3 linked regions of the Caenorhabditis elegans genome follow. Each later gene encodes a partner of the first gene's protein in a complex. Each region holds a gene or a part of one and is shown in the gene's direction. Other genes may lie near its edges. The genes, in order: moma-1, immt-2 and chch-3.

Evidence for each region.
Region 2: moma-1 (region 1) and immt-2 share a complex: the UniProt entries of both Caenorhabditis elegans proteins name them as parts of the mitochondrial contact site and cristae organizing system (MICOS) complex.
Region 3: moma-1 (region 1) and chch-3 share a complex: the UniProt entries of both Caenorhabditis elegans proteins name them as parts of the mitochondrial contact site and cristae organizing system (MICOS) complex.

What each region holds. Positions count from the first base shown.
Region 1 is NC_003281.10:850,764-854,481, reverse strand, and holds moma-1 (MICOS complex subunit MIC27), read left to right. Parts: upstream 1-2,085; coding exon 2,086-2,352; intron 2,353-2,648; coding exon 2,649-2,937; intron 2,938-2,986; coding exon 2,987-3,036; 3' UTR 3,037-3,151; downstream 3,152-3,718. Other genes in the region: tag-51 (uncharacterized protein), read right to left, coding at 1-52, 99-243; rnp-5 (RRM domain-containing protein), read left to right, coding at 574-656, 704-1,345, 1,398-1,542. UniProt on the Caenorhabditis elegans protein: Sustains mitochondrial morphology probably through maintaining cristae morphology. May act as a component of the MICOS complex, a large protein complex of the mitochondria.
Region 2 is NC_003283.11:16,787,124-16,790,875, forward strand, and holds the start of immt-2 (MICOS complex subunit MIC60-2), read left to right. Parts: upstream 1-2,143; 5' UTR 2,144-2,255; coding exon 2,256-2,279; intron 2,280-2,325; coding exon 2,326-2,463; intron 2,464-2,512; coding exon 2,513-3,361; intron 3,362-3,752. Other genes in the region: Serine/threonine-protein kinase dkf-2, read left to right, coding at 1-41, 719-850. UniProt on the Caenorhabditis elegans protein: Sustains mitochondrial morphology probably through maintaining cristae morphology. May act as a component of the MICOS complex, a large protein complex of the mitochondria.
Region 3 is NC_003280.10:9,415,013-9,418,764, forward strand, and holds chch-3 (MICOS complex subunit MIC19), read left to right. Parts: upstream 1-2,000; coding exon 2,001-2,083; intron 2,084-2,146; coding exon 2,147-2,312; intron 2,313-2,361; coding exon 2,362-2,505; intron 2,506-2,553; coding exon 2,554-2,616; intron 2,617-2,906; exon of another isoform or gene 2,907-2,995; intron 2,996-3,050; coding exon 3,051-3,104; 3' UTR 3,105-3,304; downstream 3,305-3,752. Other genes in the region: gss-1 (Glutathione synthetase), read right to left, coding at 1-338, 441-544, 591-1,261, 1,314-1,418. UniProt on the Caenorhabditis elegans protein: Plays a role in maintaining mitochondrial morphology. May act as a component of the MICOS complex, a large protein complex of the mitochondria.

The sequences.
Region 1 (3,718 bases):
TTTCCAGAAAGTGGAGTGATGAATTCGTCAAGAAGCCTAAACCATCTTGGTTCTGCAAAAGAATTTAGTGCTAAAATACTTTTTTGGGAAAAAATTACCTTTTGTTTCAAATGCTTCCATCCATCGAAACTGAATTTCACGCTGATCAGCGTTATTATCGAAATTTTGGAATTCTGCAGAGTCGATATATTTGATTTCTGGGAGCTCTTCTTCTTCTAAAAGTTCAGATTCTGCAGAGTCCATTTTGAAATTGAAAAAAAAAACGAAAGTGTTTTGTTTTGCAACGACACTCCGATATTCCACCGCGCGCGTTGTTTACCGTAAATCATTCACCCGCGTCTCTTCGAAAAATGATTCGATATTTTCAATTCTATAGTTTTTCTATAGGTTTTTTCTTGTTTTTCAATTAAAAATTTATTTGAAAATCCGTAATTCTTGTTTTTGGTTAATTATTTACTCAAAAAAGTAAGCGCTTTAGCCAACATTCTGTCTCTTCTTCTGCTCGAACACCACGCGGTGAAAATTTTCTTACTTAGTTGATGTCTATTCGAGTATATGAAATAATTTTTCAGTATGGTTGAGAAAGAAGAAACCAAAAAGAGGGCTCGCTCGTCTTCAAGCAGCTCGTCCAGTAGCTCTGGATCGTCATCTTCTGGGTATGCTTTACAATTTTCATACAATAGCTTAATAATCGATATTTCAGAAGTAGTTCATCAGGATCTCGCTCCTCCAGCTCATCGTCCAGTGGCCGTTCTCGTTCTCGCTCACCACGTCGTCGTGATACCCGCCCACCAGCTCGTGGAGGACGCTCTCGTTCTCCAATCCGTCGTGGTTCACCGCCAAGAGGAGCACGCGCGGATCGCGATCGCCCAATGCGACCATCACCATCACCACCACGTCGCCGTCGTCCATCCCCATCGCCACCACGTCGTGATCGTCGTGACAGAAGCGGGAGCCGTCAGAGGAGACGCGCTTCTCCGAGGAGAAGCCCAGCAGCAAGATCAGCCAGTCCGGCCAAGCGTGTAGTGATCAAAAATTTGAGCAGAAATGTTCTGAAAACGCACCTCGAGGAGATTTTCTCGATCTACGGAGCCATCAAGAATGTCGATCTTCCACCAGATCGCTTCCATAACCATGTTCATCGTGGATATGGATACGTTGAATATGACAATTTGGAAGACGCCGAAAAGTCGATCAAGCACATGGATGGAGGACAAATCGATGGAATGGCTGTTCACGTCGAAATGACTATCGGACGACAATCTGTCCCATTCCAGCGTAGAAGTTCTCCATTTAGAAGACGCTCGCCGCCACCAAGAGACAGAATGTCACCAATGAGAAGAGGGTAAGTAATCAAGGAAAAGTAGTATATTTTGATAATTTTCATCAAATTCCAGAGGCCGCAGTCCACCACCACATCGCAGACGTTCTCCAATGGGCGGCCGTGGCTCAGGAGCCAACAATATGCCACTTGGAGGGCCCAACAGATTCCGCCGTGCCAGCCGCTCTCGTTCTCCAGCCGGCAGAAGATCGCGTTCTTAAACTTCCATTACTGACGTTCCATTTTAAAACCCCATTCTAAACTGTCCAAATTCTGAACATCCTTTGTTTATTATTCTTCTGTTTTGTTATGCAAAAGATCTCCCCAATTTTCGTTTTTTTAATAAATTATTTTGGGTGTTTTAAGGGTAATTTGGATTGGTTAAAGACATGGTTAATTGCCTGTTAATTATCTATTTTAATTTTAAAACCGTCCTCAGAGGGGTTTAAATGTTAGAAAATATTTAAAAAAAAAACAAGAAAGCCTGGCGCGAAATATATAGTAGCGCAGGCGTCGGTGTCGATTTATGAAAAAGTGGTAATTAAATACAAAGAAAATCAATTTTAAATAATTGTTTAAAGGCGCATCGTGAATAAACACAAACTCCGTAAATCGACACAGAGCCTGCGCTACGAGATATTTTGCGCCACAAATGTAGGAATACTTATTTCTTCATGGTTTTTTAATAATTATAATAAGCTAATCAATTTTAAAATATTTATTCTTGTTTTATTATTTTATTGTTTTACCGCTTGATTTTCCAGATGACACAAGACAAGCCGATTGTGGAGACAATTTCAAACGCCGGTGAACAAGTGACAAATGTTTTTGGACAATTCTGGCAACTTGTCACCTCGAAAAACACGACGAATAATGGAGATTCAAAACCTATTAAGATTGAGCAACTTCCGATTTATGCTGAAGATAATGCTCCACTGAAGCAGAAATTCCTTCCAGAAGAGCCACTTCCTCTTCAAAGAGAATTCGCGACTATTCGTATCGCATGTGAGCAGGAGTATGATCGTGTTGCTGTGAGTTTTACGCGATTTTATGTGGAGAAAAAATTATATTTCGTTTTTAATTGGTTTTTTTTTAAAAGAAGAGTTTGGATTATTTTATTTAGCTAATTTTTTGTATTTAAGTAATTATTTGATATCTGTAGTTTTTTCAAGTGAAAACCGAATGTGTTTCACAAAAGAAAAAAATACATTGAAAATATCCATTTTCGAGAGGAAATTGAAAATTTTTAATATCATTAAATTGAGTAAAAGTAAAAATTAAACTAATTTTGTGAAAAATATATTTTTATCACCGATTTTTGTTTCAGGAACGCTTCAAAGTTGTCGATTGTGCGATGACTCAAACAAAAAAAGCGGCGACCAAATGCAATGCATATCTGACAGAAGAATGGACTGCTCTTCCAAAAGCCGCAGCAATCACCGTTGGTGGAATGGCCGGATTCGTTTTAGGCCTGAAACGTGGCCCGGTCGGACGTCTCCTCACCACTACCATCGGCTTGGCCACGATGGCCGCCTTTTGTTATCCGATAGAGGCTGTTGACGTGGCAAAGACCGGAAGAGCTCATGCTGAACAAACTTGGTATTCCTTCCAAGAATGTAGGCTTGAAATTTCTGAAAATCAGAGAGAAATAAATAAAATTTTCAGCTCCAACTCCATCTGCCATCGTCAAAACTAACTTGAGCCCACCGAAATAATTGGAAAATAATTGTTTGTGTGTAAAAAATATCCACTCGAATGTCTAGCGGTTTCTTTTTTTGTGTGTGCGCCGAACCCAGTGTTCCTGTAGTAGTGAAATAAAAATGCGATTTTTATGCAAAATTTGAAGAAAAAAAAACTGAGAAAAACAGAAAGGGAGGCACTTTTTGGACAAATTAAGAAAATAAATCTTATGTATATAATATATATATAGAACGGGCGAGGGTGGGGAAGGGAGAGAAAGTCACCCGCAAAAATTTAATCTAGGGGATGGTGAGAAGAGAGGCGCGGCACATTTTTTTGTTGATAAAATTGGAAAATTTATATTGGAACACAGAAATATTTTTACTTTTTTTTTAGGAACTTTTCACTTTCAATCAAAATCAAAATAATTTAAATTTCCAATAAAAACTTCGTCTAAACAACGAAAAAAGAAAAATTTTGTAAATTTTCCGAAAGTTTCAAAAAAGGTGCAGCACATCTCTGGTGAGAAGGCGAGAGGGCAGCGGGGGATCAGCATTATGGGTGGGCATTTTAATTTCAAGAAAATTTTGAATTTTCAGTGGGTGTAAATGTATGGCTATAAATGATTTTAATGTGGCTCGTACATATTTTGGCATATAATCACCCCGCCACTTTTTTTTCGATTTGTGTATTATTTCCCCTCATTTTAATATTATC
Region 2 (3,752 bases), on another chromosome or scaffold:
GGTATACGGTGACGAAAGCGCAGTCGCAGATCTGGATGCAGGTAGGCATATGGAGACCTTTTTTGGGTCTCGCAGCGAAAATTTTTTCGAGCTGAAAAAGTTAAAAAAAGAAAATTAAAGATTTTTTCTGTGAATTGAAAGCTGAACTTTTTTTTACTTTCTACTGTAAAAATTGTGAAAAAAAATTCTAAAATATTTTTTTAACGAAAATTTAAAATTTTCAAAATTTGGGGAAAAAACACAAAAATCAGGAAAAAATACGAAAATCTCTTTTTTTTTAATTTGAAAAAATCCGAAACATCGGCTTTAAAAAATTTCGAATTTAGAAAAAATGTTTGAAATTTTTTTTTAATAGCAAAAAAAAGTTTTACCTGCAAAAAATCGGGAAAAAAATCCGAAAAACTTAGAAAAAAATTGTATTTTTTTAATTTGCAATCATTTTAAAATCATATGAAATTTAGAAAAATCCAAAAAAAGTAAAGAAAAATTGCAAAAAAAAATAATTTTAATCCAAAAATCCGAAAAAAAATTTACTTACAGAAAAATCGGTTTAAACATTTTTTTAAGGATAAATAAAAATTGTTTTAAGCGCAAAAATCCTTTGAAAAAAAATAATACAAATTGCAAAAAATGCATTTTTTTTTTGTTGGTTTTTCAATAAAAAATAATTTCGAAAATTAATTTTTTTACGAAAAAATTGAAAAACTTTTTTTTTCAGAACTACACCCTATGGTCGGATCTACGAGTACTGGAAAAAGCTGTCGGTCAACGATTCGTAACTCATGAAAGTGATGATGTGAGGTGGCAGGCTTACGAAAAAGAGCACAATGTGACTCCGGTCTACGTATAATATCCAGCAGCAGGACCCCCAGAGAAACTTTTCATATTTTTTGCATCTTCTTGTCACATATCCATTTAAATTTTATTTCGTTTTTTCTTGTTTCATAATTTTTTTTCCAAATTTTCTCACTCACATTCCCTGTGTTCCCACACCCATTTCTTAAAACATTCCTAGTCGAAAAATCCTCCTAATTTTTACGTTTTTCCCCGTTTTTCACCAAAAAATCGGAATCCAACCCCCACCCAGCGCACACAAAATTTGCCATATGATCCTCGAAAATTTCCCGATTTTTTTCCAAATTTGTCCAATTTTTACCAAAATTTGTTCTTTTCTATTCACTTTTCACCGCAAAAAATGTTTGAAATTTCATCAGATTTTCTTGTCTAATGATACGCCCGAAGATTTATTTATATATGTGTATGTTTTGATTGAATTATTACTTTTTCTTTATTGAATGAATTGGTGTAACTGAAAATATATTTTATATTTTTTTGCAAACAAACAATGACAATTTGATCGAAACAAATGAGGAAACAAATTTTTTTATTTTTTCTTCCAAAATTGTTCCATCAGAAAAGCTAGATTTTCCAATAATTTAGACACAAGTTGTTAGGGCTAGATTGTTTTGTTCTGGAAGTTCAAATTTCTGAGAAAAATCATTTTCCAAGTTTCAACTATAGAAATCGCACCTAAAAAATTGTTTTTGAATTATTGGAAAATCTAGCTGTCCTGTTGAAGCAAATTTGCATTTTTTGGAAAATACTTAAGACAAACATTTATTTCAGCTAGATTGTTTTGTTCTGGAAGTTCAAATTTCTGAGAAAAATCATTTTCCAAGTTTCAACTATAGAAATCGCACCTAAAAAATTGTTTTTGAATTATTGGAAAATCTAGCTGTCCTGTTGAAGCAAATTTGCATTTTTTGGAAAATACTTAAGACAAACATTTATTTCAGCTAGATTGTTTTGTTCTGGAAGTTCAAATTTTCGAATTAGAAATCGAACCTAAAAAATTGTTTTTGAAATATTGGAAAATCTCGCTGTTAGAACGCCAGATTAAACTAAAAAGTTAGAACGCCAGATTAAATTATGCAGCAACCACCATGAAGTCGCTGCCGATGAGCTTTTGTGCGCGCTTGGGTGCCGATTTGAAATCAATTAGCTGAGAGGAAACCATTTTTCCAATGAAGACTCTTCTGCTTCGCTGAAATTTGCCAAAAAATGTCAAAAAATCTATCGAGTTCACAATCCAGGACTACGGTAGACTTTGAAATCTGCATTCTGACGTGACCGTGTACACGAAAGTACGTGACACGTCAAACAGATTTAAAAATCTTTTTTATATAATTTTTCCAATTTTTCAATCATTTCGAGCGGTTTTGAGTGTTATTCTTCAGATTTTTAATTCAAAAGTCATGCGTGGAAGTCGTAATTTATTGGTATGTTCATATTTATTAAATATTAATCAAATTCGGGAACTTTCAGACTCAGCGACTGGCTTCTTCTCGAGCAACTGGTTCTTCGGGAGGTCTCAAGTTTGTCGGAGCCACTGTTGGAGCGGTAACTGCTGGTGCAGCAGGAGTTGCTGGATACGCTTCTTATGATAATGAGTTCAGAAAGAAGGTTTTAAAATTTAAAATTAAAAAAAAACAAAAAAAAAATCAAATTCCAGCTAGAAGGCGTGATTCCCGGTTCTCGAACTATTTTGAATTACACGATCGGAGAAGAAGAACCGCCGGCGCCTCGTCTTAAAGATCTTCGACCTCTGCAATATTCCGCAGATCCGAAAGTTCCACCAAAGCCATTTGAGCCGAAGCCCGTGAAAAAAGAGCTGATCGGAGTTAAGGAGAACCTGAAAGAGACTACTGAACCAAAGAAAATCGAGAAAAAGCCCGAAAATCCATACATCGGCGCGAAGACTCCACTGAATCCCCAGGAAAGGAACGAAAAGCTCACGGAATCCCTGAAAAACCACCTAACTCAAGCCGAAAAAGCCACGAAAGTTGCGACTAGCGCCAAATTGGAAACGATTCGAGCTATTGAGCATCACGTTCAGACAATTCGTGAGGCTATTGAAGCTGGAAAAGACGGAGATTGGGATTCAGTGACTGTTGCTCATCTGAAGGCAAAACGGCTCGCTGAAAAGGATGAAAAAGCCGAGAAATTGGCTAGAAATGCCGTCGCTGACCTTGTCACGGAGGCAAACCTCGGCGGTCAAGGTGAGACTACTCAGCTGAATCCACTGGTTCCAATCTCAAAAGCAACTGCTGAAAAGCTCTCAAACGAGCTGGATGAGATGATTTCAAACGTGAAACATGTCGATTCGGAGCGTATTTTCGTGCATGACTACAGTGATCGTGTAGCGGAGAGCCGCAGGAAATTCCAAATGGAACTGAAAGCAGTTCATCCGAATTTGAATTATGAAGATGGAATGAAGATCAAAAAAGCGGATTTGCACACGATTTTGGCTCATGCTCACTTGAGAATTGATCAGCTCAGCCAGAAATTGATTGATAGCAAGGCAAATATTCATTTTTTTGGCATAGTTGTAAAGAAAATTGCGTTTAAATCTCAATTTCTCCTCTAAAGTCGATTTTTCGAATTTTTCCTGTGAATTAATGCATTTTTTCCTGAAAATTTTGAAAAAAGAACGAAAAAAAATTGAAAATTATGTGTGTCGATTTACGCAGCTCGTGTACTCCCCGAGGAGAAGTTTTATTACAGTTTTTCAGCTGAAATGCTTGATTTTGGACTATTTTCACCTAAATTTAATAGCCAAATCGCAAATTTATCACATTTTACTATTCCACTAGAAAAAAGAAAAATTCCAGTTTTCAAATAGTTAAACCGCAAAATGTGGTTTTTATGTATCTCTAAAAAATAAAAAGCGATAGTTATGTGAAAATTGTCGG
Region 3 (3,752 bases), on another chromosome or scaffold:
ACGCTCTTCTTCCGGAAGTTCTCGGAGCATTTGAACCATCTCATCACCGGTGTGCAATGCGGCTCCACCTTCAGTTTGTGGCTTCAGAACAAACGCTTCTGGATGTTTTTGAGCTCCAGCCACGACTTTCATAGTCACTTCATCAGTGTTCTCCAAAGCCCACATTCCTGCGAATGAAGCTCGAATATCGCGAGCTTCTCGTGGTTTTCCGATGAATCTTTCGAGTACTCCATCTTCAGAAAGAACCTGCTGGGTCTTCTTAGTATTTGCCACCTGTAGCCCGATCCATGGAGTTTTGATAGCGGTGGAAAGTTCCATACGCTCACGTGCTTCCCATTCTGAAACAAATCGGAAATGTTTCAAAAAACTTTCTAATAAGAATAAATTTACTAGAGTTATATCAGAAAAATTTAGCTAAACGTTGATAAAATTGTGCTAACCTTTTGTAGATGGATAATGATCAGGTGAGTATCCTGCTCTGAAGTAAACAATTGCTACTTGACGCCCATCAATCATCAAATCGCTTCTATCATTCAATGATAATCTGAAAGTTTTAACATAGAATTCTGTATTCAAATACAAAAACTTACTGTTCATAGCATTGTGTTAAATTTCTTCTAATAATACATGTCATCGGTACTCCTAACTTTTCAAGTTCATATTCCACGTGGCGTTGATCAATCTGATTTTGATTGACGTTTTCTACAACGACAAGAACCACAGCTGCTGGGTTCGAAAAGTGGGACCAGGCCTTGAATAAAGCTTCAGCGATCATTGGAATTGGCTTGTTTTCTGGAATTGCTCTTTGAATGACGTCATCGGAAATGTTCAACGCTTTAAGAACTCTGATATGCCATTCGGTGAGCCGTAGAGCATGTGCTCCCATTGACGAGGCGATATTGTTTATTTCAATTTGTTTCAGTCCATATTCCGCTGAATATTGATCCTTATGACACATATAATCAGATCGTTGAATCGCGAGAGTGACTGGTTGCTTGAGTCCTTGGGCTTTGACTTTCTTCAAGATCTCAACCATATTCCGTGTGAAATCATCAGTTTTCACGACATTTTTATGAATATCGATTAGAAAATCAAATTCATAAGCTATGAAGTGATAAAGACTTGCGAAAAGGTTCTGAATATGAACTGCTTCTTCAAAAACATTTTTCGGGAATGGAGATGGAAGAAGTGTTAATGGAGTAGTTTGACAAACTTCGCTGCTCAACTTGTCGGTTGATAGACGCATGACAAGCCCATTAGCCTGAAAGATGTTTAAAATTCATTGAAATTCGGAAATTAAGAAAAAAACTTACATGAGCCCAATCGTGAAGATCAGCGGTGAGCTCGTTGAGCTTATCATCTTCGAGCGGGAGCCTTGGAGCATTCAACAGCAAAATCCGGTCATCTTTTTGAGCCATTCTTGAAAAATTACGAATTATTTTTTCAGTTTTAAATAAATGCTTTCGAAAAATGCAAAACATGACGCGAGAGTGACAAAAATGAAATTAAGCGAGAATGAAATGAGAAAAGTGAGCACTGAAATCGTGATGACAAAACGTATAACGTGAGGTTTCTATGTTTTGTCATCATTTCTCTTTGAAGGAAGTCGGAGATATTGCTTTTCGAGTGGTAAAAGGAGGTTTGAACGAGTTTATGATAAAATCTTGGATGCTTATTTGTTGTAATTGACATGAATAATAGTTATTACATGAATTTAACAGGAAAATTTGAAAAAAAGAAAGGGATTGGCATGAAATTTGCTCCCGAAAACAAAGAACTCAAAGAGCAAAAATCATTTTGGTGCTAAACGTCACGTTTTGCGTCAAGGAGCTGCTGGCGCACATCTCGTGCACGAGTATTGCGCTAGCTATTTATTTTACGCTAATTTTTTGTTTCTATCAAAATTATTTTTCTACACACAAAACAACAAATAAACAATTCAATTTTTTATATTTAATTTCTCGTGTCTGTTTAAACTTTTATTAATCGATAATTGTCAGATGGGAGCATCCCAGAGTGCAGAACAAGAGGCACGTCCCGAAGTGGTGCGCATTGACCGAAATGAGATTCCCGAGGAGTACAAGTGAGTTTTTTACGTTGGGAATTCTTTTGAAACTAGGAAGTTTTTATTTATTCAACGTTTCAGAACCGTCGGTGTATCATCGGACGTTGTGAGCCGAGTCAATGCGACCAGAGTTGCCGGAAACGACGGAGAAAGTGACCGTCTCAGACAAGAATTGGCTCGAGAGCGTGAAGAAAAAGCTAGATTAAGAGAAGATATGGCTAAGCTCAGTCAGCTGCAACAGAGAAAGGTAAAAATCAAAAAATCTTTCCTGATAGGATTAAACTTAAAAGTTTCAGACCGCTGGAATTTCCGCCGCCCCAGTTTCGATTTCCGGAAATGATTTGGAGGAGAGAAAGAAAATTTTCGATGACACTGTTGAACGCGTTCAGAAGCAATTCTTCGCTTATCACCGTGAAAATGTGTGCCAGGATAATGAAAATGTAATTTTTAATTTGAGAAAGTTTTTGAGAATATCCAACATTTTTCAGGAGATTGTAAGATGTCTTCAAGAAAATCCAGGACGTGTTTTGAAGTGTGCTCCACTTACTGAGGTAAACTTGGGAAATTTTTTAGAATCACGAGCAAAGTAAAAAATTAAAATTTAAAAAAATATAAAAGTTGTGAAAATTGTTTTAAAACAATCACTAACCCACTTGAATTATTTGAAGTCTTGCATAACTCTCAAATTGGGAATAATTTTGAAACTATTTTTTTTGTTTTCATTTCAACTTAGGAAAAACTAAAGTATCTAAATACCAGGAAGGTTTTTTTTTTAATTTTTCAAAAAATTGAAGATTTCCGAAAATGAAAGTTTTGGCAAAATTCCAAAATTTATGAACATTTAGAGTAAATTTTGAAGGCATATCCTTTTCATCCCTCTAAAAAACACAAATACTAGTTCAATAAAACAAACAATTGTTTACATAGTTTGTAGGCTACAATTAATTAAATTGTGATACAAATTATTTTCTTTTTATAATTTCAGGCATTCGAGAAATGTGTCGGCGAGTTCAGGCAACAAGTGCTCAAGGGAAATTAAATTTCTTCATATCGATTTTTAAATACATTGTTTCATATTTCCCCACATTTTTTTGATCGTAGTGTTGTATAGGTGTGTGTGCGTGCCCCGTTTTCTCAAAACTTGTATTTCCCCCTCAGCCTCCCACCCAAAAACTTTTGCTTTTTTATTTCAAATTTTTTTGTTCCACGAACGAAACAATAAACTTCTAGGGAACTTTTAAATCCGTTTTCAAGTTATATATTCCAAAATCAAAACAGGCATTTCGCTCCTGTACCCATCTTTCCCCTTACTTAATTTTCAGATATTTTTCACTATATTTTCAGAATATTTAAAAAATCAGCTACGCGTTGTAGCAAATTTTTTTTGGTACACAAACACAGCTGATAACAACAGGACACACAACGCAGTGGGACTGATGATGGGCGGTTCCGTATTATCACCAGAAAAATGAGGTAAAACGGGTTATTTTTGAATAGATTTCAGATTTGATTCTCGCCAGTACACCTGACTAGGTTCGAATTTATTACTGTGTGGTCTTGTTGACTTTCAAGATTCTAACTTTTTAAAACTATTATATGGACACCTCGTTTACGTAGTCGTCTACAGATAACATGGTCTCGCCACGATCAACGGGTTACTGTAACTCTTGTCGATTTACGGGCCAAT